3 linked regions of the Caenorhabditis elegans genome follow. The protein of the gene in region 2 interacts with the protein of the main gene of each other region in a pairwise test. Each region holds a gene or a part of one and is shown on either strand. Other genes may lie near its edges.

Region 1 (3,757 bases), on a different chromosome or scaffold from region 2:
ATAAGCATCAGTTGTCACATAGGCTTTGAAATCAAATTCTCCTTTCTCGTTTGTCCATCGATCCATAAAATCTTCGTATCTGACTGAGAGTAAAGATTTTAGATTCAGTTGAACGATTTCAAACTCTCTTACACATTTGTGCTTCAGAAAAAATGTCCATTGGCATGTTGGCAGCAGGGACATCATCACACACAAGTTGTCCTTTGATATGCACGGAAAAATCTGTCTGCTTCACGGCCAGACACGTGGCAATAATACCGGAAAGAACAACAACTAGCTGAATGGGAAAACTTTAACTTCAAAAAACCTAACTATATTACATACCATTTACAAACCAGTTTGACCACTAAAAACTCAGTTGAACTGTATTTGAAACTAAATTTTTCTCGGTGTACGTGTCGATATTTATTTTAAAAAATTGCCACGCATTTATGTTTTCAGTGTTATTTTTCTTTTAGTCCTTGACAATTAATATTAATTGCAATTTCCAACATATCAAATAAAAATCAATGGGTACGGTATACAACACCGCAAACACCGTCACGTCAAGTCGCAGACTTTCAACAGCCGCTCCATTTTTATTTCTTATTTTTCTAGTTTTTCCGTTTATTTTGCGAAATATTATCACTTTTTGATTAATTTTATTGCAAAAATTTACAATTTTCAGTTAATATACTCATTGAAAACACTTTATTAACGTAGCTTATTACGTTATTCCTCCTGCGGTATTTAAATTTGGTTTTTCTATTCGCCACTACTTTTTAAAACGTTATTTTGTTCATCATTGAGTATTCAATTTTCAGAAATGACCGTATATCTCCCTGGCGACGTTATCAATGAACCTTCTTCAAGCGATTCCTCAATCATTGGCTACGGAATTAGTGTACGTGGCCAAACGAGAATTGCCACTCAACCTGGAGCTTTCCACAACGATGATGGAAAAGTCTGGTTAAATGTTCACAGCAAAAGGTAAGAATGATCACGAACAACATTTAAAATCACAATTTTTCTTAAATTCAGATATATACCACAGGAAGGAGACCGAGTAATCGCTATTGTCACTTCAAAAACTGGTGATTTCTTTCGTTTGGACATAGGAACTGCCGAATACGCCATGATCAACTTTACTAACTTCGAAGGTGCTACTAAAAGGAATAGGCCGAATCTAAAAACTGGAGATATTATTTATGCAACAGTTTTCGACACAACTCCAAGAACTGAAGCAGAGCTTACCTGTGTGGATGACGAGAAACGAGCACGTGGAATGGGACAGCTAAATGGAGGATTCATGTTCAAAGTTAGACACGAAATTTACTATTTATTGTAAAATTTAAAAATTATTATAGGTCTCCTTGAATCATTGTCGTCGACTAATCAACCCATCTTGCAAAATTCTTCAAACTGTTGGCAAGTTCTTCAAATTCGAAATCACTGTTGGAATGAACGGAAGAATCTGGATTAGTGCTTCGACTTCTGATGATATTATCAAGATTCACGATATTATCAATAAATCAGAGTTTATCACTGACGAAGATGAGCTTATCACCCTGGTTCAGAATAATTACACACGATCTGTCAGTGATTAAGAATCTTTATCTCAATTTTTAATTTTTCAGTGTAATTCCTGCTATTGTTGATTTTTTTTTCCTTTTGTTGTTGAACTTTTTAAAAATTTAATTTATCGTCTTGTTCTATGTAATATTTCAATTTTCAACGTTTCTTCGTTGTTTTAATATTTATTACTCAATATTCTCAATTCACAATGGAAAATTTTCGACATTCAGTATGGGTGAAGGCTTAGTGGAGCAACGTCAAGCTGACGATAAAGCATCTTGGGATGCTTACTGGAAAGTTCGTGATATCGATTCACGAGGATCCATCTACCCACGATTCCGTTATTATGCCCATAAGGCTTTCGACGCCCCAGCAACTTGGTTCAGAGGTAATTTTTAAAATTCTCAAGTTGGAGAATCATTTAAAGAAGAAGCAGCTTTGAAATTAGATTTAAAACCATTTACAAAATGTAAGAATTGACAGAAAACAAATTTCGTTCAAGTTTATTTACTTTCACCATTTGTTTTAATTCCAAGTAATTGATACTGTCTACGGTTTTATCCAGATTCAAAAAATTTGGGAACTTGTGGTGCAAGTAAAGGTTAATTTCTAATTCCCATATCATTGCTGTAAATTATAATTTTAAACTAGAAAAAAACCAAAGTTATTCGACTACCTCAAGCTGATGTACAGTTAGTAGTTGCAGTTCCACATAATAAATCAACTAGGCAAAACAATCCATTTTAATCTATTCTACTAACTCGTCAGCTTTTCAGAGACTATTGTGCAACCACTCAACAACAAGAACCGTCTACCCTACTATCACCGTCAACTTACACGTGTTCCGGAAATCGACGAATGCGGAGTGAACGACAAGGCCTGCTTCTACGAAGCCAATGAGCAGTACCGTCTTGATAAAATGGTCGATGGATTTATTCTGCAAACCCTCCGCCAACGTGTTGATCGGTGTATGCTTTACAACAATCCTGATCATTCACCATGTGCCAAGGTTATTGAGGATATGGAAGAGAATGAGTTGAATTTCTTCATGAAATACGGAGAGTTGGGAGGAGAATCCGATGTTCGTGATGCTTATATGAAGCAGAAGCATCGAATGATCTGGGAACGACGTCATCCAGAGATTATGGATGAGCGTGCAGCTAAGCTTGCTGATCATAAAGCACGACTTGCTAATGGAGAGTTTGACTATTCATTCTGGAAGAAGGGAATGTTCTATCAAGACAAGAAGAACTATGAGCCACCATATGAGTTCCAAATGAGCAAGTCAGCACTCGAGGGTGACAAGCCATTGTCCAAGGATTGGGAATACTACAAGAAGGTAAATATTCTTTCAAGATTTAATTTTAAAAAAGAAGCTACGAGAGAATCCTGGATCGAAAATTAAAATTTTATATTTTCAGGTCTCACAAGACCCAGAATTCGACAAGGATCAAGGAAAGAAGTCCGACTTCCGTCTCTTCTAATTCTACGCTGTCAATCTTTTCTTTTTCAATGAAATTTTTTAGAACGAATTGTGTTGAGTTTTCTTATTCCGTCGTAACAACTTTTTTTTCTTTTTCATGTTGCGTTCTTTTATTCCATTCAGAAAGTGAATAAATGTAGATTGTTTGATTGATTTATAAAGATTTGAATATGAATTTATGAGAAACGGAAATATTACCAGTCAGCTTTTCTTTTCAAATTAATTTAAATCAAAATTTAACTTTTTTAAGTTTCGGAAATGATACTGACATTTGCACGAAGTCTCTACACACAGGGGCAGTATAACGGAAAAATAAGGTTTTATTTTTAAATTAATTGTTTCTTTTTGAATTTGAGTTTTCAGAGAATATTTTTACTATGTGAGCCACAATGGTTTCCTATTTCTGGACGATTCGAGAATGAAGAATTTTACAGCGGCTTATAAAGGTTTATTTTACAGGAAAAACTGTTAACAAATCGAAATTTCAGATATTCAGTTTCTTAATTTCTTCTACAGAAAGATCAAGGAAAACAAGACGGGAAGATATGAGGTAAAACGCGAAATTTGCGATTTATCAACAAAAATACGGTAGCCGGTCTCGACACGACAATTTTTGTTGAATGAGAAAAGGTGTGCGCTTTTAAAGAGTACTGTAATTAAAAACTGTGATTTCTGCCGGATTTTTTTATTGATGTTTCCAATTCTTTCTATAAAATAATT
Region 2 (3,757 bases):
CCATCGACTCCATCAAGACGGAGCTGTATCATCCAATGAATTGTTTTGCATCGTCCGTGCATCATAGAAACAGGTGTTCATCGTGTTTATCTTGCAAACTCACCCAACCGACACTCATAAAACTGTGTATCTCTGGAGACTGGGAGAGATAACATCCACTTTCTACTCTTTGTCGAGCCTCTTTCATCCAGTTTTTTTCCGGTGTCAAAAAAAACTTCATATTTTCTTTTTTTTCATATTTATTCGTTTTTTCTTTCTGCTTTGAGATTTTGTCATATCTTACAAATCCAAGAAAAAAAAAAGAAAAATGTAATATCTTTCCTTCATCCCTTCCTTTTTATGTAGTTATTTATGTCTTCTTCTTTAATTAAATTTGTTTTTTCTTCTTATTTCCCATTATTTTGCTAACACCTTATTTGTTGAATATTCGATGGAGAGACTAATAATTGAACATTTTTGCATCCCAATTTTTCACAAAGCTAATATTTCGCGGTTTTTGATAGTTGTTTAAGACTGGGATGTATAGTTGGTGTTTCAATTTTGTCTACTCAGTTTTTTTTTCAATTTAAAATTGTTTTTGAAACAAAAACGTAAAAACCATTACATAAAAGTTTATAAGTAATTTAAAAGTTCCATTAAAAACAAAAAATAACCATGGTATAATCAGAGTATACATATATTGGGCATTTCAGAAGCAATAACTTCCAAATAACTTCAATGTGAACTGGAATATATGTAGTGACAAAATGCGAAATACTTAAATTGTGTAAGAGTTTAGTGTATACAGATTAAAATAAACTGACAAACTAAAAAAAAATTATAAAAGTATATATATATATGTCAAAAATTTGAGACTAGTAGTAACCTTAACAGTAAACATATTTTCAGCATGTTTTTGGTATAGCTCTGCACAAAATGGTAGTTTTATGAAATTATTGTGCTCAATGTTATTTCCTTGAAATAAATCTCGATTATTTTTTGAATAGTTACACTTTTTGGTTGAAGTTATTGCACCAAATGGAAATGAATTTTTCAAAAAGTTTTAAGTAGACGTATGAAACGGAAATAAAAAGAGTATGCAGAAAAAGATGCAAACCGAAATTGTTTGAAAAAAAAAACTTTAAAAAATGGCTTTGTTAGCCTTAAAGGAGTTATTGTTTTGAGCATTAGAATTAGATCCCAAGTCATTTGAGAACGTAGGAAAATCAAAATGTAGGTTTCTCTATGTAATTGATCGTAGTAAAACCCATGCACGTAATTGCTTCTATTACATTACATTACGATTTTCATATCAAATAATTTTTTTTCAGCATCTCTCAAACTTAAAGTTTAGTGTTTTGAAAAGATTTCAAATCTGTTTACTGTTTTTGTTACAAATACATCTGGCTAACCCGCCAACTTTGAATAAACACGATACTATTCCGGCAAATTCAGGAATGTTTGCTAAATGACAAATACAGCCGCGTTTCAATAGGAAACTAGAGGTGGAAAAGATGAAAAGTGTCCATATTTGTCTTGATTTCCTCTGCCATGCCGCAATCAAACTTTCTTTCACATAGTTGTTCTGCTTCAATAATTTAAGATTGGATGGTTTGATTTTGCATTTTGCAGAAAATATTATGTTATAAACAAGAAAAAATCCTAAGTTTAACGATTTCCGTCCCCCACGCACTCAAGTTCATTAAAATTAATGACGTAATGCTTACCTCTTTTTATAAGACCGCAACATGAGATTTTCCATCAGACAAGTACCACCTCAAATCCTCAATTTTTTAGTTCTCGAAAGAATGTTGCGGGGTTGATAAAACATGAATCTCTCTTGCAATCATTTATTGACATTATATCTCCTCCTAACGATCAAATCAAATTGGCCGAAAGAAAACGCGTAGAGCCCCCCCCCCCCCCCCCGCCGCCGACCCAAAAAACTGCCATTTTCTCTCCAGTCTCTCTATTTCAATATTCATGCGAGCCTGATATGCTTTTTCAATTTAATAATCATTCACTGTCCCTATGAGTTTTTTTCTGGTTATCTCTTTTTTTTCTTCAACTTTATCATTTGTTTATTCACGTTTATCAGCATTTTTCAGCTAAAACAGAATGAGGGAGCTTGACCCGGACGAGTCGAACCTTCTCCTCGATGAACAACTGTCGATCCGGGATGTGATAGAACAGTAAGATTTTTGAAAATTCAGTTAATTCTTGAAATAACTAAGAATTTCCAGAGGTCCATTTTCAAATGTATACCGAATACTTCATGGACCATCAAATCGAAAATTTTTACTGAGATCAATCAATTTGAATTTGTTCAGACAGCACACCGGGTTAGGATTTGAAGGTACAATTATTGTTATACAGTTGTTACATGGGGTACGACTACATGTAGTAGTCGTATTCCAAAAAAATTCTACGCACCTACTAAAATGATTTGTTCAATTCAAAAGTTGAAGCAGTGTACTTTTGTAGTAGCTGTAGTTGCTCTACTATACAAGTATCAAAAATAGTTTTCTCCCATTTTGATAAAGTCTTTTTTTAATTTTGGTTTTTTGTCTTTACAAAAATTGATAGGTTTTTGTAATGTTAATCGATCTAGTGATGAACTAATATCTTTCGAAAGGAGGCTCAAATGCAGTTAAAAAAAAGTTAATTAGAATAAAAATATCCAATTTCATTGGTTTTCATCCAAATACCATTGAGACCGTTAAAGAAAAGTTTCAACATTTTAAAAACAGGAAGTCATCGTTTCAACACACTGTCTCACAAAAGACTGAATTATTAGTTTTTGATGTTTTTTTTCGAATTGAACAAATTCAGGTGGTTAATACACTTTTTTTTTAAAGTTATGTTTTGACCTTTATTGTGGATTTTGAAGAATAAAAAATTTCTCAAAAAACAACCTGAGTGCACTTTTAAAAATTGAGAAAAAAAAAGTCCCCGCAGCGGATATTATTATTCTCGCCACCAGTTTTCCAATCAGAAGCGCACAAAATGTCCTCAAAGTTCTCATCTCATGAGCTCAGCAGCTCCAATCCCAATTCATCAATCAATCTATCAGCCATCATGTGTCATTTCGAACTTTGATCATTTTACCGAATCCGATCTAAATATAATTATTTCATTCCAAACCATCTCTTTTTCAGAAATCGACGAGGAAATTAGAATATGCCAAAATCTACAGCACCCTTACATATGCCGACTGGAAAAAACTATCAACAGCGTTCATTATCGACATATCATTTTTGAGAACATGGAGGGAAATGATATTTGTTTTGAAATAGTTCAAAGAGCAAGTAATGGATTCGTATTTTCTGAATATGTAGTAAGGTTTGTATTTTTACAATATAGACTGTGTGTCACGGCGTGTAAATTGGGACATCTGGCCTAGCGAAAAGTGAAAAGTGAGAATCCTAGGCCATGGCCGCTGCAAAGCGCGCGAAATTTGAATTTAAATTTTTAATATCATTGAAATTCGATGAATGAGACATTATAATGGATAAAACTGCAAAAATATATACAAAATTGTTTTTAAAATGGATAAATCACATATAACAACGATTATTTTCCTAAATAAAAGTGGAAATTCGATTTATTAGGCAATTATTAGGAAAATTCGACAAAAATGGCACATTTTTGAACTTTTTTCAAAAACTAGATCCACAAATTTTCTGAAATTTCACCAGATTACTCAGTAGACTACTTTAATCAAATTGTGTGCAAAAAATTCATACCCACCGTCACAAGTTCCTATTGAATTTTTCTA
Region 3 (3,757 bases), on a different chromosome or scaffold from region 2:
GAAAAGTTGAATGGAGTTGTAGACGATTGGAGGTTCGGCTGGTGGGGAGGGACACATAAGGTAGGGGGGACCGCCTGTTTGAAAGGGGGGACTCAATGCAACAATAAACGTATTATGATTCATTAAGTTTCAAAACCAAGTAACATTATGGCAAGTATATTGAGGTAATGTAAATAGTGTCTCTCTCATAGACAGCTTATCAGCAAGAGAAAATGGAATTTGTTCTAAGACAGGCTGAAAGTGGTGGGAATCTGTGTTTCAAACTTTTTTTTGATACTTTTTTGGCCAAAAAAGTAAAGCAGAACATCTTTATCATACCTTAGTTTTGTAACAACCAAATTCGAAACTAAAACTTGAAAAACAAGCATTCCCACTATCGCTTTTACGATATCAACCATCTATTTGAACAAAAACAAAATAAGATACTATCATATTAAAGTTTGTTACTTTTGATACTGGGAATGAGCAAAAAAAGAGTTTCAGTTTTTTTGGGCGTGGATCCTAACTGTAGTATTTCAGTCAAAAAACAAGAAGAGCTTGCTTTAGTAACGCTACTGTACCGTACCATTACAATAAACTAGCCAGTATTGCGTAAGTACCCTGGATATGCCGAGATGGAGCCCACAATCAATGTCGCCTGCTCAATTAACAATTTTGAAAATTTAGGAAATTTCATAAATTTTAAAATATATAACTTCCACTTCGCGATTTTTCATGCACAGCCGCAATTCATTGAATAGGTATTCCCCTATTCACCCATTAATATTTTAAAATTAAAAAAATCATATCTTAGCTAGAACATAAAAATATATCTAAAAATTAATTCCAGATGTTTCTCCACTGCACATGAAAAAAAACAAGCAAACAGTTAATTTTCAAAACAAAAAAAAACATTTTAAATGTAAAAATTGTAGCTAGCTCCAGGCTCCAGTCATATGACGAATGAGGTAATCGTTGTTCGTTAAAAAGTATAAAATCACCTTCATTATCGGGCCTCTCATGGGTATTTAGATCATTGAATTGCGGTTTCAAAAAGTAAAAGTACAAGTCCGGGTCACCCACCACTTTTAATGGAATGTGGATATGCTCAAATACAGTGCTCATTGTAATGGGATGGCGTGGAGGATGATTTACCCTGTGTAACAGAAAAATAGTAAAAATGTTTAACACCGGATGTTTCAGAAAAAATCCCATTTCAAATAATTTTGCAGAGCATTTTTTTGAATTCTGTGTAATTCTTCACAACAAACGTACTGGAAAAAAATCTGGAAATTTTTGAATTTAGTTGGGTAAACAATTTTAGAAGCTGATTTTTTTTTCAAAAAAAAAGCTTCCATGCAAATTACCGGGCCTCGCAAGAACTTAAAAAAACTCTTATGAAAAACATTTTTTTGCTAGTTCAAAATGCTCTTCCGAAACTAATTTTTCTGCAGTCATCTATTTTAATAATCATATTGTTTGTCCCTAGTAAGGCTTACGATACCACAATACTTTTTGGATTTTTCTCTGCAATTTTTCCAGTATAAATGATATTTTTGATCATTGAAATGCCTTAACTTTTCAAAAAAAAAATCATTAATTTATTTTAAAAATATTCAAAAACACGCGAGAAGCCAACAGATCCAAGCTGGCGGAAAACTAGTTGCGTGTCAGAAATTATCGTGTCGCGTCGGGTCGCCCATCTTTATTCATCGATTACCTGAAAAATGTGTGACGACGATGATTTCGAATTCTCTACTCAACCCGAGTTCGGATCAACCAGTGAGATGAAAAACGAAGAGATGCTGGTTCCAAGTGATCCAAATTTCGAGATAGACGGGAGACGCGTTCAGGAGAATATGTATGATGTGAGTTGGGATGTGAAATTTTGAGACAATTTTTTTGGAAACAATTCTTCCAAAAATTGAAATAGTCTTGTTAGTCTCGGAAATACTTTTTTGGCTCGAAAAAAATCTTCAATTTAGTTTGAAAACTTCAAATGCACCTACATTGCTGTCTGAGATACGAAAAATGCCATTTTGGCTCCAATTAGCAATTCGAAAATAACAAATAAATATTACAGCAAGCATCGGAACTCAGCTATACTTACCTGGATACTCCATCTGAACATATCTGGACACCAATTGTACCTCTAAATGCCACCACGGTGCCGGTTACCTGTGGATATGTCAAAGGAATTATGCATCTCAAATTGTTCAGGTGCCCCGGAATTCGTCAGGCTTGCATCGAATATGAATGTATGGTGGCTTTTATAATGTGAGAGAATGAATTTATTCTGGAATTTCAGCACAGTATCTGACTCCGAAACAATTTACGGAACTTGGTGGAAAAGGGCGACAGAAAGACTGGAAGGCGTGTATTCGTGTGGAGAATGTTAGCTTGAGGTGAGTGCAGAAAGATCAATAAATTGTATGCTTTGGTTTAGGCTCAGGCGTATGCTTAGGCTTAGGCCTCGGTTTTAGGTTATGTGCTAGGCTTAGGTTTGGGCTTAATCGTAACCTTTTGCTTGGGACTGCTAGCCACGTTTAATTCTTAACGTTCCAGTTTTAATTCATTAAATTTCAGAACACTATTGGAGAACAAAACCATCGATTTCTATAATCACAAGAGTATCTGTCATGGACAGTGCCAAAGTCGCAACTACATGAACTCAACGGGCAGAGCTCCAGTTAACAAACGTCACCTCGAAGATGTTCTAGCTTCCGGAGATGATGCATCTGAGCCAACGGAGCAAAGTAGTGGACAAATTAGTGAAGAGCCAAGTAATATTTTAAAAATCATGGTGCATTTAATTTTAAGGAAATCCTATTTTTTCAGTCAAGAAAAGAGGTCGTGGGCGTCCAGCAGGCAAGAAAAACAAGGCAAAGCTGGAAATCAACTTTGTTGAATCAGAAGATCAGCTTGTTTTTGAAGAGTTCTTCCAGCCAGCTTTCTCAACAAGATCCCCAGCTCCAGAAAGACCTGTGTGCAGCCCAGCTCAGGATATTTACAGTTGTCTGCAAAATGGTAAGGAGTTTTTGCATATTTTCGAGTTTCACTGCCTCTACCTATCAAATAAACTTCCAAATGATTCCAGATCCAATGAGTTTCTGGTCTCAAATCAAGCGAAGCGGCTTCATTTCTCAATTCTGTGATGACATAATTGCCGGTGCTATCAATCTGAAACAATCTGCAATGACTCAATCCTTGAATCAAAATAGTGCATTTGTTCTGACTCGTGCCACATTTGCTCTTGGTATCCAGAAGCCGATTGTGAATCGAGTGCAATCGATCGAGAGAAATGTGAATGAACAGAAGAAGCAAAATGAAATGATGGAGGACCAGGGAAAATATCAAGAAGATGCTCAAACTGAAGCTGACGACTTGGATAATCAACCTAGATGCAGTTATCTTTTGGAGGATCTTTAATAGATTTTAATAATAATTATTTTTTGTTCTGTACTGTTCGTACCAGTACTAGTATTTAAATAAAAGATTTTTTCAAGTTTTAAGTGCTTTCAGAATTTAATCACAAAATTGTTCTATTTCCCAGAAGCTTCCAGTTCAATAAAAAAACTGACCTACAGGCATATAAATAACCACATTTTTTATTGGGTGATCTTGATAATTTTTAAAAATTAAAAATTAATATACGACTTGACAGACAAAAAATAGATTGACAGACGAAAAATAGATTGACAGACGAAAAAATAGATTGACAGACGAAAAAATAGATTGACAGACGAAAAATAGATTGACAGACGAAAAATAGATTGAC

Evidence for each region.
Region 1: the proteins of lin-2 (region 2) and ndub-10 interact in a two-hybrid assay, tested with the Caenorhabditis elegans proteins (3 studies listed by BioGRID).
Region 3: the proteins of lin-2 (region 2) and gmeb-3 interact in a two-hybrid assay, tested with the Caenorhabditis elegans proteins (4 studies listed by BioGRID).

The regions. Positions count from the first base shown.
Region 1 is NC_003279.8:10,517,576-10,521,332, forward strand, and holds ndub-10 (NADH dehydrogenase [ubiquinone] 1 beta subcomplex subunit 10), read left to right. Parts: upstream 1-1,784; 5' UTR 1,785-1,785; coding exon 1,786-1,942; intron 1,943-2,330; coding exon 2,331-2,893; intron 2,894-2,975; coding exon 2,976-3,038; 3' UTR 3,039-3,186; downstream 3,187-3,757. Other genes in the region: nlp-4 (Transthyretin-like family protein), read right to left, coding at 1-83, 133-277, 325-327; exos-3 (Exosome complex component RRP40), read left to right, coding at 806-969, 1,021-1,297, 1,347-1,586; UPF0598 protein F59C6.12, read left to right, coding at 3,296-3,354, 3,401-3,483, 3,526-3,587.
Region 2 is NC_003284.9:12,412,366-12,416,122, reverse strand, and holds the start of lin-2 (Protein lin-2), read left to right. Parts: upstream 1-2,081; 5' UTR 2,082-2,097; coding exon 2,098-2,171; intron 2,172-2,222; coding exon 2,223-2,335; intron 2,336-3,137; coding exon 3,138-3,321; intron 3,322-3,757. UniProt on the Caenorhabditis elegans protein: May play a structural role in the induction of the vulva. May be required for the localization of signal transduction molecules (such as let-23 receptor) to either the basal membrane domain or the cell junctions.
Region 3 is NC_003281.10:3,766,842-3,770,598, forward strand, and holds gmeb-3 (SAND domain-containing protein), read left to right. Parts: upstream 1-1,658; 5' UTR 1,659-1,706; coding exon 1,707-1,847; intron 1,848-2,062; coding exon 2,063-2,237; intron 2,238-2,287; coding exon 2,288-2,384; intron 2,385-2,565; coding exon 2,566-2,762; intron 2,763-2,817; coding exon 2,818-3,006; intron 3,007-3,076; coding exon 3,077-3,408; 3' UTR 3,409-3,487; downstream 3,488-3,757.